3 linked regions of the Saccharomyces cerevisiae S288C genome follow. The gene in region 3 interacts genetically with the main gene of each other region. Each region holds a gene or a part of one and is shown on either strand. Other genes may lie near its edges.

Region 1 (5,544 bases), on a different chromosome or scaffold from region 3:
CAAATTTCTTCAAGGCTTCCGGATCGTTACCTTACTCCCAAGCAATAAACGTGAAATCTGTTTTGTATATATATTTGCAGCTTTTTTTCTTTTGTTCTTTTTCTTTTTTTGGAGATGCGTCTTAAAAAGCGCCACAGTTTCAAGGGTCCGGCGGATAATTTGAGCAATGATAGTATGAAATGCCAGATTACTGTGTATTAAATAATACTTCATGAATTTGCGAATGAACCACTTTTTTGAAAGTTTATGGATATAGATGTGCACATGTCGTTTTTTGAGCTTTGGGTGTTTAGAGCGGAAGAGTTGGTGTTGTGAGTTTCAGTTTTATCAATTATTTATGTTTTTCTCTCAGAAGCCATTTTTTTTTGGTTTTATGGTAAAGGCACCCTTTAAAAATAATACTAAATGTTTCTTTGAAAAATACCATACTTACAACTAATTAATTATTATATGATAGTAAACACATATACTTATTTATAACAAAGGGGTAATCAATCTACTTAGCGAAATGTAACCTTTTTAAAAAACCTTACTATCATGTATATTGAGCAACCAATGAACCTTATTAATGCCGATAATGCAACTAACCATAAAATTACATTAAAATAAATTGAGGCCTTACTGGTCATTAAGGGAATTTCCGCCTTCTTTGCAGTTTCTAAAGTGTCATCAGTTGATATGGATTTCATAGCAATATAATCTGCAATCCCACCGGTTTCTAAGACAACAGCAACGATGATGAAATTTGTGATGACCCAAAAGATAATCACGAGAGATCTAACGTTTGCATAATAGCCAGTCTTTTTTTCATCATAAGATGGCTCAGTAGGCCGAGATTCTGATTTTGGATCGAAGTCATTTAAAACTTTCAAATATTTATCGTAGTTTGCTTGAATCTCTGAACTAGAGACCAGAACTTCCATTTTGAACGTACCATCTTCTGTAGTATTAATCTTACCCAGCGGATTTGCCATTGCACCCTTTGTACCCCATGATAAGTCGTGGACATTACAAAATGCATAGATATTCAAAACATTGATGTAAGAAGGACTCAATAAAATATACTGAATAAAACTTGTCAACATATGCCATGGCTGCAAATAGATAATTGAACTGATTAGGTACAAACAATAAGTGGAGCCCAGAGAGATAACAATATCCCTGAAAGCTTCTGTGGTAATCAAACCCTCAAAGCTGATGGTATCGTTTTTCAATATATTTTGGAAGGATTTGACACTCATGAATATACTGCAGAATATCATGTAAATCATCATCACCGCAAAAATGACGCAAGTTAGAACATAAAATTTCTCAGTACTTTTAGGTTTATTACCCAATGACAGTATGAATGTTGATAAGGTACAAATCCCATAAAGCCACAGGAATATGACGGACAACACATTAAATGCTGAATGGTATGCCAGTGCAATAGAAACAGTGAGAATTCTAAAGACTAGGAAAAATGAACTCAATGAAAACCATGAAATCAATGTATTGAAGAAAAGGTAAAAAAATTCAACCGTCAAAAGGAGTTTTCTACCAATATTATGACCACTGCTCCAGACTCTGTAAAAATGACAAAAGGAATATACACTAGCAAAAAATGAACCATTCAACCAACGCCTCCTCTGAAGAATAAATTCAGGGACCCTCTCCGGTACATCTGTTGAAGCATAAGAACTTCTGCAGTATTTCAAAATCCAATTACAATTTTTTTTTGTGACCACTTCAAAGCATAAAATACGATCTTCAGCAAGATACATATTGGAAGAAAAAAAATGAAAACCTTCATTTTCCATAATTTCACCATAAAAGTACTTCTGTAATGGTTGGCCTCTCACAGCTTCAAACCTATACGCAGAGAATGCCCCCGGTAGAACAGTAATAAATCCAAAGTTAGACTCGGTTGTTTTGTCTAAAATATTGGACATTTTGTATTCGAAATTCTGTGATGCAACTAAAGGATTCAAAAGCTTTACAAATCTCTTACCCAAATCAGTTCTTATTTCACCACATGCGCCACCAACATTTGGATTCCTGAACTCTCTCCATAACTGGTAAATAGAATCTTTACCTGGCATGGTACCAGCATCTAACAATGTAACGATATTGGGACGCAGTAATTCTGCAAAGCCTTCAAATGCCCATCTATGTGAGTTAATTTTTTTCTGATTTTGCTCTTTCAAACAAAACAAAAGTTGTATTGGAACGGTACCTTGATTGCATTCTAATGAAACCTCTGATTCCGAAATATTTGTGATGTTGATCATTGTCGTATGTTCGTAGACATGCATTGCCACTTTTTTTTCATTAATTTCATCCTTAGCAAACCCGTCCTGGTAACAACCTAACGAACTTAGTAATGCTAGCGAGCGTTCATTAATTTTGGATCTACCATCTGAAATGATACAAACGACAATCTTTTTCCATGCATCCGGCCCCCAAGTGCTTGAATTTTTTTTTTTCACCATATATTTGACATTGTCCATAATACCTTTCAAAGTTCTTCCTAACAGGATATGGTCTTCATTATACATTGTGACTACTAGCATCAATTCCGTTTCCCTTGGAGTTAAATACTTCAACTGCCTCACCGTGAAATTCTTCTCTGCAAGTTGATTAGGTTCGCAAGTAACTGCTTGATATCTCATAAACTTAAACTCATTTGGTAAAGTGTTTGCATTTTCTGTTGTAGTAGCGTATTGGTCCAATAGCGTCTTACTGATTGGAGAATCGAAAACAAAATTACCATTCCAAAGTTTGAATTTCCTAATTTCAGTACCGCTTCTCTTTAGTGCTCTATTTGCGGTTAAGTTATCATTGCTTACTATTATGTCGGATTCTTTAGATCCGATAGAAGACACCGAGGATGATGCAGGTACACCATTAGCTTGAAACTGTAATTTATCAATAGTGTTGAGATCATCGTACTCGTCATCCCTTGAAAAATCATCCTTGTCATATTCCCCCAAGTCTCTATGAGAGTAACCGCTTTTCACACTGTCTAATTCTTCTTTTCCATCGTTTACGGGTCTGCTATCATCATGAAGATATTCTCTACGCTCCATAGGAGTCATATGTCTTAAACTGTTTTCATAATCGTAAGGATCAACCATTTCACCGTTTCTACCCAAATATGAATTAATCTGATAGTCATCTCCTCTCTGATCAATATAACCACCCTCCGGATCGTCATAGTAATCTTTTGCCTGTAGGCCATGGTAACCATTGTTGTATCCAAAAGGTTGGTCATGGTATTGAGGAATATTACCGCTATTCATGTTATTGTTGGGTTGCTCCAAAATGGGCCTAGCTTCCTGATCTGCATAACCATCGCTACTAGAAGCAATACTCGGTGACGTCCTAGAGTTCCTGTTATTATAATAGTAGTCGTTTTCGTTAAAGAAGGGCCTTTCGATGGGGGTGGCCATAGTCTGTGAGCCGTTATGTATGAGTTCTGGAGTGGTTTGAATCACATTTATCGAAGGAAGTGGATATGAAGGTACGTTATTGTATTGATGTTCCGACGGTAGCTGTTGACTATTCGTATTAAAAACGTCATTGTATTCTGCAGTTGCTGGTGGGGGACGCTGGCGATGGTGGTTGACAAAACCTCCATATATGTCTCGTTCGTTATCATTGATAGTATTATTATTGCCATCGTCACCGTTATAAAGCATATTTGTTTGCTGAGATTGTTCTGGAAATTGCAAAGATTGGACTGGAGTGAATGAACCCATGCTGGCATTTTGATTGGTATATCTTTGGTTCCTGTTTGTTAATTCTTCATTAGAAGAGTGAAATAGCCCGCTATGTGCATTTTGGAGTTCATAGGAAGGTTCATTCTTCCGGTTTGAGTGATATTCATTTCTCGATCGATTATTTTGATCACTCATTGTATAGTTTTTTTGGTTTGGCTTCCCAGTATTAATTTAGTGACTCTTCGAGGAAGGAAAGAAGAGAGAAGAAGAAGAAGAAATGTATACTGCGTATTTAAACAAGCAGTACTGCAAGGTCCGGTAGGCCTCAAAATGTAAGTGTTCTGATCCTTTGGAGTACCGACGTAAAAAATGAACCCGAGATATATATTAAAATCAATAATTTGTAACAAATATTATACCTAGTTTGGCCAAGAAAATCAAATTTCACACTAATGGCTGTGTCGCGTCATTATCGCGTTACCAAGCCACGCGATTTCTAAAAAAAGACTGCTGGGCCCCGTCTCGGCTTTGTTTCAGAGGTAATGTATGTTTCCTGCATGTATTTACTTGTATCAAATTTCGTTTCACCAAGGGTTCTTGTAGCATATGCGCAACGAATTATCTTCTACTTATGTATATGTACGTAATTTCACTACCGATAGTGGCTATAAAAAGGGTGTTCTGGTGGCATATCGAACGTCATTGCGGTAGGCGAAGCAGAAGTACCGTCATCCTCATTTGACTTCTGTTCCAGCCTCTGTAAGAAAAGTAGTCTTTCCTTGGCTTGATTATGGATATAGTTCCTCTTCAGTTTATCAATAATCGTTTCTTGTAACCCGCACTGTTTTGATGAGATAGCGACAGCATTATTCAGAAAAACGTTAGCGTTTTTCATCAATATGTTTAAAGTATGCGCTCCCCCGGGGGTTTTTTGTGACTTTTCAGTTGATTCTTTTATAGCGTACCTTCTCAGTTCATTATCGGAGGAATTTACTAAGACATCACAAAGTTGAAAAACTACGTGACTCAATTGTTCGTTCAATGTCTGATTTTTCAGAAACAAGATTTGATTTCTATAGTCTGTTAATAAAGTTCTAGCCTCTGTAAGAACTTTGGTCAATAACCCAGAGAGTTTCCAAGATGCATCTGAAGAATAATCGTTTAAACATAGAATGGCAAATTCAACGATATCAACTCTAATCAACGAAAGATCAATCTTACCCTGTACATCTTTTTCATCAAGCAGATCGGTAAAGGAGACGGTTTGCAGAACAAAATCTTGCAATGACTCGAAGGTTCCGGAGCTAATGATGTTCAAACCTTCAATTAAAGTCTTGGCTAAACCGATTTCCTTCAAATCTAATGGAATGGCGGCGGAAATGGAGTCTATAATGTCGCGTAGTTGTAAATAGAATTTATTGGTTGTATCTTCCAAGAAATTAATCTGAATAGGATTCAAGATTTTCGTTTCGACATTTTTTTCAATAGATATTTTCGACTCAATAACCAATTCCATCAAAGCATGGTTGAACTTTAAAGAGTTGGCGAGTACTTCGGTAAGTGAAGACGGAGTCACTTGTTCAGAAACGTCCATAACTTCTGCTGGAGGTTGTACAGGTCCATTGGTTCGGATACCACTTCCGTCCCTGGTAACTTGCATCGCGTCTTCATCCAAAGTATCTCTTTGCAATTCCGTATCTGTGTCATCGGAATCTTGTTCTGCATTTTCACTCCAGTTTTGTAGTTCTTGTAACAGATAATTAACCAGGTGTTGAAAGATTTCAATATACTTGTTTGTCAAAGTTAAAATGTCTGCACCTTCCATTGCAACGGTGGGCGAAAC
Region 2 (3,644 bases), on a different chromosome or scaffold from region 3:
GTTTCCGTGGAAAGAAGAGAAGCGTTGGAAAAGGACCTAGAAATGAAAAATGATGAATTAAACAGATTAACAAAAATATGGGACGCTGAAAGAGCTGAAATTGAATCTATCAAAAATGCTAAGGCAAATTTGGAACAAGCAAGAATTGAGTTGGAAAAGTGTCAGAGAGAGGGTGATTACACTAAAGCATCCGAGTTGCGATATTCCAGAATTCCTGACTTGGAGAAGAAGGTAGCTTTAAGCGAGAAGAGTAAGGACGGAGATAAAGTAAATTTACTTCATGATTCAGTTACTTCTGACGATATTTCTAAGGTTGTTGCCAAAATGACTGGTATTCCTACAGAAACGGTGATGAAAGGCGACAAGGACCGCCTACTGTATATGGAAAATTCTTTAAAAGAAAGAGTCGTTGGCCAAGACGAGGCCATTGCTGCTATTTCTGATGCTGTACGTCTTCAAAGGGCTGGTTTGACCAGTGAAAAGAGACCTATTGCCAGCTTTATGTTCTTAGGTCCTACTGGTACTGGTAAAACAGAATTGACCAAGGCTTTAGCTGAATTCCTATTTGATGACGAATCAAATGTGATTCGTTTTGACATGTCAGAATTTCAAGAGAAGCATACTGTCTCTCGTTTAATCGGTGCACCTCCAGGTTACGTCTTAAGCGAATCTGGTGGCCAATTAACTGAGGCTGTCAGAAGAAAGCCTTATGCTGTCGTTTTATTTGATGAATTTGAAAAAGCGCACCCCGATGTTTCCAAACTACTGTTGCAAGTGTTGGATGAAGGTAAGCTGACCGATTCCCTAGGCCATCATGTTGATTTCCGTAACACGATCATTGTGATGACCTCAAACATTGGACAAGATATTTTATTAAACGACACAAAGTTGGGTGATGATGGTAAGATTGACACCGCAACCAAGAATAAAGTTATCGAAGCAATGAAAAGATCCTATCCACCTGAGTTCATCAATCGTATTGATGATATTCTAGTTTTCAATAGGCTATCCAAGAAAGTTTTGAGGTCAATTGTTGATATTAGAATTGCAGAAATTCAAGATCGTTTGGCCGAAAAAAGAATGAAAATTGATTTAACTGATGAAGCGAAGGATTGGCTAACTGACAAAGGCTACGATCAATTATATGGTGCAAGGCCATTGAATAGATTAATTCATAGACAGATTTTGAACTCCATGGCAACTTTCTTATTAAAAGGTCAAATTAGAAACGGCGAAACTGTTAGAGTGGTGGTTAAAGATACTAAGCTTGTCGTGCTACCAAATCATGAAGAAGGCGAAGTTGTTGAAGAGGAAGCTGAAAAGTAACTGCACAAGCGGTTTATGAATAATAAATTCCCAAGAAAATACATATATAAACATACACATTTCTCTTTTGTAAATAGAAGAATTAAAATAAAAGATTTTTGGTATCAAATAAACTGGATGAATGTTACATGTACCAAGTGCCCTGGCAATACAATAAAGCTATTGGTCTGGAAGTATTGATATTATTCAAATGTAATCTTCGAGAGTTACTGCGGGTAATACACACATGTGTCACATATTTTTCTCTCGAGTATGAAAAAATTTCATTACCTTTGTAAAAGCTTAATACGATCATTTCAATATGACTAGTAATAAAGGGGAAAGTTTGCGAAAATGGATGATTTTTCAAGAGATACCGAAAACTTTGTTTGCTGGTTAAAAACTACCGCTGAAATTGAAGTATCCCCTAAGATAGAAATCAAAGATCTTTGTTGTGATAATCAAGGCCGCGCAGTAGTTGCCACTCAAAAGATTAAGAAGGATGAAACATTGTTTAAAATACCTCGTAGTTCTGTTTTAAGCGTTACAACATCTCAACTGATAAAGGATTATCCTTCTCTCAAGGATAAGTTCCTGAACGAAACCGGATCGTGGGAAGGTTTAATTATCTGTATACTTTATGAGATGGAAGTTTTGCAAGAAAGAAGCCGATGGGCGCCTTACTTTAAAGTTTGGAACAAACCAAGCGATATGAACGCGTTAATTTTTTGGGATGATAATGAACTGCAACTTTTAAAACCATCACTTGTCCTTGAAAGAATAGGAAAAAAGGAAGCCAAAGAGATGCATGAAAGAATTATTAAATCAATCAAACAAATTGGTGGAGAATTTTCACGTGTAGCGACGTCCTTCGAGTTTGATAATTTTGCCTATATTGCAAGCATTATATTGAGTTACTCCTTTGATTTGGAAATGCAAGATAGTAGTGTAAATGAAAATGAAGAAGAAGAAACCAGTGAAGAAGAACTTGAAAATGAGCGCTACTTGAAATCGATGATTCCACTTGCTGATATGTTGAATGCAGATACCAGTAAATGCAACGCTAATTTAACTTACGACTCTAACTGTTTAAAGATGGTTGCTTTGAGGGATATTGAAAAGAATGAACAAGTGTACAACATATACGGAGAACATCCAAATTCGGAACTACTAAGAAGATATGGGTATGTTGAATGGGACGGTTCGAAGTATGATTTTGGAGAAGTGTTACTTGAAAATATTGTCGAGGCGTTAAAAGAGACTTTTGAGACGAATACTGAATTTTTGGACAGGTGTATTGATATCTTACGCAATAACGCCAATATTCAAGAATTCTTAGAAGGTGAAGAAATAGTACTAGATTCATATGATTGTTATAATAATGGTGAATTGTTGCCTCAACTAATACTTTTGGTCCAAATCTTGACAATTCTTTGCCAAATTCCAGGTTTATGCAAACTGGACATAAAAGCAATGGAAAGGCAAGTGGAGAGAATTGTAAAGAAGTGTTTACAATTGATAGAAGGTGCCCGCGCCACTACAAACTGTAGTGCCACATGGAAACGTTGTATTATGAAGCGTCTAGCCGATTACCCCATAAAAAAGTGCGTTTCTATCGAAAAACCTTCGAAAGGAAACTCATTAACAAGGGAAGAACTAAGAGATGTTATGGCTCGGAGAGTTTTGAAAAGCGAAATAGATTCGCTGCAAGTTTGTGAAGAAACCATCGACAAGAATTACAAGGTTATTCCTGATGAAAAGCTGCTAACTAATATTTTAAAGAGAAAGTTGACAGAGGAAGAAAAAAGCTCTGTCAAACGTCCTTGCGTGAAGAAGTGAGCGGTTGTTCTAACCACTATTTAAAGCCGCAATTAGTAATGCAAAAAGTTGGCCGGAATTAGCCGCGCAAGTTGGTGGGGTCCCTTAATCCGAAAAAGGACGGCTTTAACAAATATAAACTCCGAAAATCCCCACAGTGACAGAATTGGAGAAACAACCAGTTTTGATATCGCCATACATATAAAGAGATGTAGAAAGCATTCTTCACTGTAATGTCCAAATCGTACATTTGAATTTCTTGTAGGTTTATTTAAAAGGTAAGTTAAATAAATATAATAGTACTTACAAATAAATTTGGAACCCTAGAAGATGTCGAAATTGGGACAAGAAAAAAATGAAGTAAATTACTCTGATGTAAGAGAGGATAGAGTTGTGACAAACTCCACTGGTAATCCAATCAATGAACCATTTGTCACCCAACGTATTGGGGAACATGGCCCTTTGCTTTTGCAAGATTATAACTTAATTGATTCTTTGGCTCATTTCAACAGGGAAAATAT
Region 3 (6,378 bases):
CTGGTCTGAATCCGCAGCGTACGAGGCGATCCTTTGAATGTCCTTCGTGGGCTGTACAAAGTTTTTTGTTGTTACCTTCTGTTGCTGCTGGCGGTGATGCAAGGAGGGAATATGAGAATCGCTGAACCTTCTTGCTATGAACTGATGGTTGTTGTTGCTAGGCGACAGGTTATGTACACACTGATAAAGGTCGTAAATGTTCATAGAATTAGACAGCCTCTGTTGTCTTTTAGACATGAAGTCCCCGAACAGGTCTGTATTACAAGCCCCCTCGTTATGTAACTTCTCTCTTGGTGAGCACGATTCCGAAAATTCAGAGTCGTTATCGTTGATATTGAGCACCGTTTTAATGAACTCATGTTTCTTATTAGGAGTGGGAGATCTGTTACTCTCCAGAAAATAGTCGTCATGATGGCCACCACTTCCGGCACCGCTTCTCATATCCTCCCCCTCTTCCTCCTGAATAGCCTTGTAATGGATGGTTAGATGGGCAGATATGGGTCTATTGCTACTGCTACTCAGCATGGTTATATTCTGTTGTCTTCTTTACTTTAAGGCGAAAGGTCAGACAATATGCATATATATATATAGTCTTCGAATGCACGGCAAAAATGATATGAAGAGCTATGCTACAGTATATACTTCTTTGTTATTGCAATCAACGTGAGCCTTAACCAATGAGGAAGTAAGAAGGAAATAAGAAGTAAGACATAAAATAAAACTACAAAAAAGAAAGAAGATCCGCAAAAACCCAAGAACAGCATTGTAAGTACTACCATCTATATAGATCGAATATCCTACTAATATATAGTAACTGCCACACGAAAAACTGTGGGTGTAAAGACTATTCATAGCCATTCTCTGCTGCTTTGTTGCATCGTATCATCGCCCGTTTCAGCCAGTCCCGCATACCCCCTTTGCAACGTTAACGTTACCGCTAGCGTTTACCATCTCCACGCTAAAAGGAAAACGAAGATTAAGATAAAGTTGGGTAAAATCCGGGGTAAGAGGCAAGGGGGTAGAGAAAAAAAAACCGGAGTCATTATATACGATACCGTCCAGGGTAAGACAGTGATTTCTAGCTTCCACTTTTTTCAATTTCTTTTTTTCGTTCCAAATGGCGTCCACCCGTACATCCGGAATCTGACGGCACAAGAGCCGATTAGTGGAAGCCACGGTTACGTGATTGCGGTTTTTTTTTCCTACGTATAACGCTATGACGGTAGTTGAATGTTAAAAACGAAAACAGAGATATTGAATTGATCAATTTGATCAGTACGTATGTAATCTTTTGTTTGCCATGTTAAATCGGCCTTTTTTTCCATCCGGTCTTTATCTACCATTCATTTATTACATCGCAATGAAGTCTCTCGCTTCATGTTGTTGTTTTTTTTCCTGCCTTTTTTTTATCCGCTCTCATTCTTATTTTTCCTACTTGCATTTTATAAAACAATAATATTTTTTTCTTCTTTTTGTCCTTTATTTATTACTTCCTTGATTAAAAGCTTCTTATCTTCGGTTTCATAAAGAAGAAAATTCCTTTTTTTTTTTTTTTTTCCTTCTTCTTGCTTAAAAGCCTTTCTTATACCTCATTTGAACAATAGAACTAGATTTAGAGACTAGTTTAGCATTGGCCAAGAACTAACCATACGCAATGACTGTTACTACTCCTTTTGTGAATGGTACTTCTTATTGTACCGTCACTGCATATTCCGTTCAATCTTATAAAGCTGCCATAGATTTTTACACCAAGTTTTTGTCATTAGAAAACCGCTCTTCTCCAGATGAAAACTCCACTTTATTGTCTAACGATTCCATCTCTTTGAAGATCCTTCTACGTCCTGATGAAAAAATCAATAAAAATGTTGAGGCTCATTTGAAGGAATTGAACAGTATTACCAAGACTCAAGACTGGAGATCACATGCCACCCAATCCTTGGTATTTAACACTTCCGACATCTTGGCAGTCAAGGACACTCTAAATGCTATGAACGCTCCTCTTCAAGGCTACCCAACAGAACTATTTCCAATGCAGTTGTACACTTTGGACCCATTAGGTAACGTTGTTGGTGTTACTTCTACTAAGAACGCAGTTTCAACCAAGCCAACTCCACCACCAGCACCAGAAGCTTCTGCTGAGTCTGGTCTTTCCTCTAAAGTTCACTCTTACACTGATTTGGCTTACCGTATGAAAACCACCGACACCTATCCATCTCTGCCAAAGCCATTGAACAGGCCTCAAAAGGCAATTGCCGTCATGACTTCCGGTGGTGATGCTCCAGGTATGAACTCTAACGTTAGAGCCATCGTGCGTTCCGCTATCTTCAAAGGTTGTCGTGCCTTTGTTGTCATGGAAGGTTATGAAGGTTTGGTTCGTGGTGGTCCAGAATACATCAAGGAATTCCACTGGGAAGACGTCCGTGGTTGGTCTGCTGAAGGTGGTACCAACATTGGTACTGCCCGTTGTATGGAATTCAAGAAGCGCGAAGGTAGATTATTGGGTGCCCAACATTTGATTGAGGCCGGTGTCGATGCTTTGATCGTTTGTGGTGGTGACGGTTCTTTGACTGGTGCTGATCTGTTTAGATCAGAATGGCCTTCTTTGATCGAGGAATTGTTGAAAACAAACAGAATTTCCAACGAACAATACGAAAGAATGAAGCATTTGAATATTTGCGGTACTGTCGGTTCTATTGATAACGATATGTCCACCACGGATGCTACTATTGGTGCTTACTCTGCCTTGGACAGAATCTGTAAGGCCATCGATTACGTTGAAGCCACTGCCAACTCTCACTCAAGAGCTTTCGTTGTTGAAGTTATGGGTAGAAACTGTGGTTGGTTAGCTTTATTAGCTGGTATCGCCACTTCCGCTGACTATATCTTTATTCCAGAGAAGCCAGCCACTTCCAGCGAATGGCAAGATCAAATGTGTGACATTGTCTCCAAGCACAGATCAAGGGGTAAGAGAACCACCATTGTTGTTGTTGCAGAAGGTGCTATCGCTGCTGACTTGACCCCAATTTCTCCAAGCGACGTCCACAAAGTTCTAGTTGACAGATTAGGTTTGGATACAAGAATTACTACCTTAGGTCACGTTCAAAGAGGTGGTACTGCTGTTGCTTACGACCGTATCTTGGCTACTTTACAAGGTCTTGAGGCCGTTAATGCCGTTTTGGAATCCACTCCAGACACCCCATCACCATTGATTGCTGTTAACGAAAACAAAATTGTTCGTAAACCATTAATGGAATCCGTCAAGTTGACCAAAGCAGTTGCAGAAGCCATTCAAGCTAAGGATTTCAAGAGAGCTATGTCTTTAAGAGACACTGAGTTCATTGAACATTTAAACAATTTCATGGCTATCAACTCTGCTGACCACAACGAACCAAAGCTACCAAAGGACAAGAGACTGAAGATTGCCATTGTTAATGTCGGTGCTCCAGCTGGTGGTATCAACTCTGCCGTCTACTCGATGGCTACTTACTGTATGTCCCAAGGTCACAGACCATACGCTATCTACAATGGTTGGTCTGGTTTGGCAAGACATGAAAGTGTTCGTTCTTTGAACTGGAAGGATATGTTGGGTTGGCAATCCCGTGGTGGTTCTGAAATCGGTACTAACAGAGTCACTCCAGAAGAAGCAGATCTAGGTATGATTGCTTACTATTTCCAAAAGTACGAATTTGATGGTTTGATCATCGTTGGTGGTTTCGAAGCTTTTGAATCTTTACATCAATTAGAGAGAGCAAGAGAAAGTTATCCAGCTTTCAGAATCCCAATGGTCTTGATACCAGCTACTTTGTCTAACAATGTTCCAGGTACTGAATACTCTTTGGGTTCTGATACCGCTTTGAATGCTCTAATGGAATACTGTGATGTTGTTAAACAATCCGCTTCTTCAACCAGAGGTAGAGCCTTCGTTGTCGATTGTCAAGGTGGTAACTCAGGCTATTTGGCCACTTACGCTTCTTTGGCTGTTGGTGCTCAAGTCTCTTATGTCCCAGAAGAAGGTATTTCTTTGGAGCAATTGTCCGAGGATATTGAATACTTAGCTCAATCTTTTGAAAAGGCAGAAGGTAGAGGTAGATTTGGTAAATTGATTTTGAAGAGTACAAACGCTTCTAAGGCTTTATCAGCCACTAAATTGGCTGAAGTTATTACTGCTGAAGCCGATGGCAGATTTGACGCTAAGCCAGCTTATCCAGGTCATGTACAACAAGGTGGTTTGCCATCTCCAATTGATAGAACAAGAGCCACTAGAATGGCCATTAAAGCTGTCGGCTTCATCAAAGACAACCAAGCTGCCATTGCTGAAGCTCGTGCTGCCGAAGAAAACTTCAACGCTGATGACAAGACCATTTCTGACACTGCTGCTGTCGTTGGTGTTAAGGGTTCACATGTCGTTTACAACTCCATTAGACAATTGTATGACTATGAAACTGAAGTTTCCATGAGAATGCCAAAGGTCATTCACTGGCAAGCTACCAGACTCATTGCTGACCATTTGGTTGGAAGAAAGAGAGTTGATTAAAAGAAAATGACCTTTTATTACACTTTCTATTATTAATGTCAATTAATGTTAACCCATGTTTTTCTTTTGTGTCTATAATTCTTTTTTTTTATCTCTAAGCTTTTGAACAATGAATTTTTTGTTCCTTTCTTTTAATAATACAAGTACTACCCCATGAAACCAATATTATCATGCATTTTTATGAATGTCAAGAATAAAGATACTGTTATTTTTTGTGTCTTATTTTTTTTCTCTTTGTTTATTTAAACGTTTTCTAAAATTAAAACTTATGTATACTGGAATATGTGATATAGACGATTTAAAAGATAATTCCAATAAACGTCCCTCGGATCTCATATTTATAAAGGTACCCTTTTAATACAATATTTATACATGTGCGTTAAATACTTTGTTCTCTTATTATCTATGAACTTATCACGAAGAACGGAGATGTAAACAAAAAGAGTGAATGAACTATGAACTTTAAATTACCTTATTACGGAGGAAGTATTCCTTCACCTATGAAGGATACAAGGTCTACATTTTTCGTCTGATAACTCTCAGGAAATTAAACAAAGTGGTATGGTTTTATCAAGGGGAGAAACAAAGAAAAATAGCGTGAGATTAACGGCAAAACAAGAAAAGAAACCTCAATCTACGTTTCAAACTTTAAAACAGTCACTTAAACTTAGCAACAATAAAAAGTTGAAACAGGATTCGACCCAACACTCAAACGATACAAATAAATCTGTTAAAGCCAAAAAAAATGGCACGTCCTCGAAGAAAACCGGAACACAAAGGAAAAGAATATCAACTCAGAGATTTTCATTGTTTACCTATGGCAATGTTCAGGTTATGAATTCATTCGTTCCCATTCATAATGATATTCCGAATAGCAGTTGCATTCGTAGAAATTCCCAAGTATCCGCAAATAATGTCACTGAAAGTAGTGGAGTATTCTTCAATGATACGCAAAGTCAAGACAGTCAAAACACTATTAAGTTAAAACCTACATCTTTAATGGCAAAAGGACCTATTGAAATATATCAGATATGTACAGGGTTTGATAAGTTAAAGGAAAATATAGCGCCCTTTCAAAAATCTAGTAAAGCTAGTAGTCATGATGGGCATGTAGTAAACTATTTATCGATAGGACGACATGGTGATATTGTGCATCCAGTACTACCCAAACTACAAATAACAAGGCTAAATGGCGCAGGTTTCAAATACTTTATTAGCTTTTATAATCCGGAACGGTACTGGGAAATCGAATTTCTACCTTTGATTAGTCAATCCCAATCAGAGTTGGAAAATAGTGTGAAAGCTTTTGAAAACGTCATTAGCAAAATTTGCCAATTTTCGCATATTAATGAAGGAGCTACTATTGGGAATAATGAGTCTTTGAGCGATAAATTCAAACTGCCGCCTACTTCGGACATAGAGCCCCCCAATACTGAAATAATTAATAATGATGATGATAACGATGATGATGATGATAATTATGATGATGACGACCTTAATTACTTGCTGGATGAAGAATACGAACAAGGATGTACAGATAATAGCTTCTCCGTGATATCGAACACTTGCTCTAATCTAAATGCAAGCTTTCTCTATCCGAGCGACCCTACCGATGCCGTGTCAATCTCCATAAATGAAGCTTTCAAAAATGCTATCAGACGAACCGCTCCTGTACTGAATATTCCAATAGCAGCCCCAAGTATTCATTCGAAACAGCAAAACAAAAGATATAGTTCATACCCTTTTATCGACTCTCCCCCGTATCTGCAGGACAGGCATAGAAGATTTCAGAGGAGATCCATATCTGGTCTTGGCGACCTTTGAATGAAGTTCAAAGCATAACT

The links.
Region 1: mutations in PFK2 (region 3) and CHS1 impair growth when combined (synthetic growth defect), as found in Saccharomyces cerevisiae (2 studies listed by BioGRID).
Region 2: mutations in PFK2 (region 3) and RKM4 together harm fitness more than expected from each alone (negative genetic interaction), as found in Saccharomyces cerevisiae (2 studies listed by BioGRID).

Annotation. Positions count from the first base shown.
Region 1 is NC_001146.8:274,854-280,397, reverse strand, and holds CHS1 (chitin synthase CHS1), read right to left. Parts: upstream 3,897-5,544; coding exon 501-3,896; downstream 1-500. Other genes in the region: YNL193W (uncharacterized protein), read right to left, coding at 4,354-5,544. UniProt on the Saccharomyces cerevisiae protein: Polymerizes chitin, a structural polymer of the cell wall and septum, by transferring the sugar moiety of UDP-GlcNAc to the non-reducing end of the growing chitin polymer. Required for mitotic division septum formation during adverse conditions.
Region 2 is NC_001136.10:969,490-973,133, reverse strand, and holds RKM4 (ribosomal lysine N-methyltransferase), read left to right. Parts: upstream 1-1,659; coding exon 1,660-3,144; downstream 3,145-3,644. Other genes in the region: chaperone ATPase HSP78, read left to right, coding at 1-1,326; CTA1 (catalase A), read left to right, coding at 3,454-3,644. UniProt on the Saccharomyces cerevisiae protein: S-adenosyl-L-methionine-dependent protein-lysine N-methyltransferase that monomethylates 60S ribosomal protein L42 (RPL42A and RPL42B) at 'Lys-55'.
Region 3 is NC_001145.3:670,043-676,420, reverse strand, and holds PFK2 (6-phosphofructokinase subunit beta), read left to right. Parts: upstream 1-1,654; coding exon 1,655-4,534; downstream 4,535-6,378. Other genes in the region: YMR206W (uncharacterized protein), read right to left, coding at 1-525; INP1 (Inp1p), read left to right, coding at 5,096-6,358. UniProt on the Saccharomyces cerevisiae protein: Catalyzes the phosphorylation of D-fructose 6-phosphate to fructose 1,6-bisphosphate by ATP, the first committing step of glycolysis.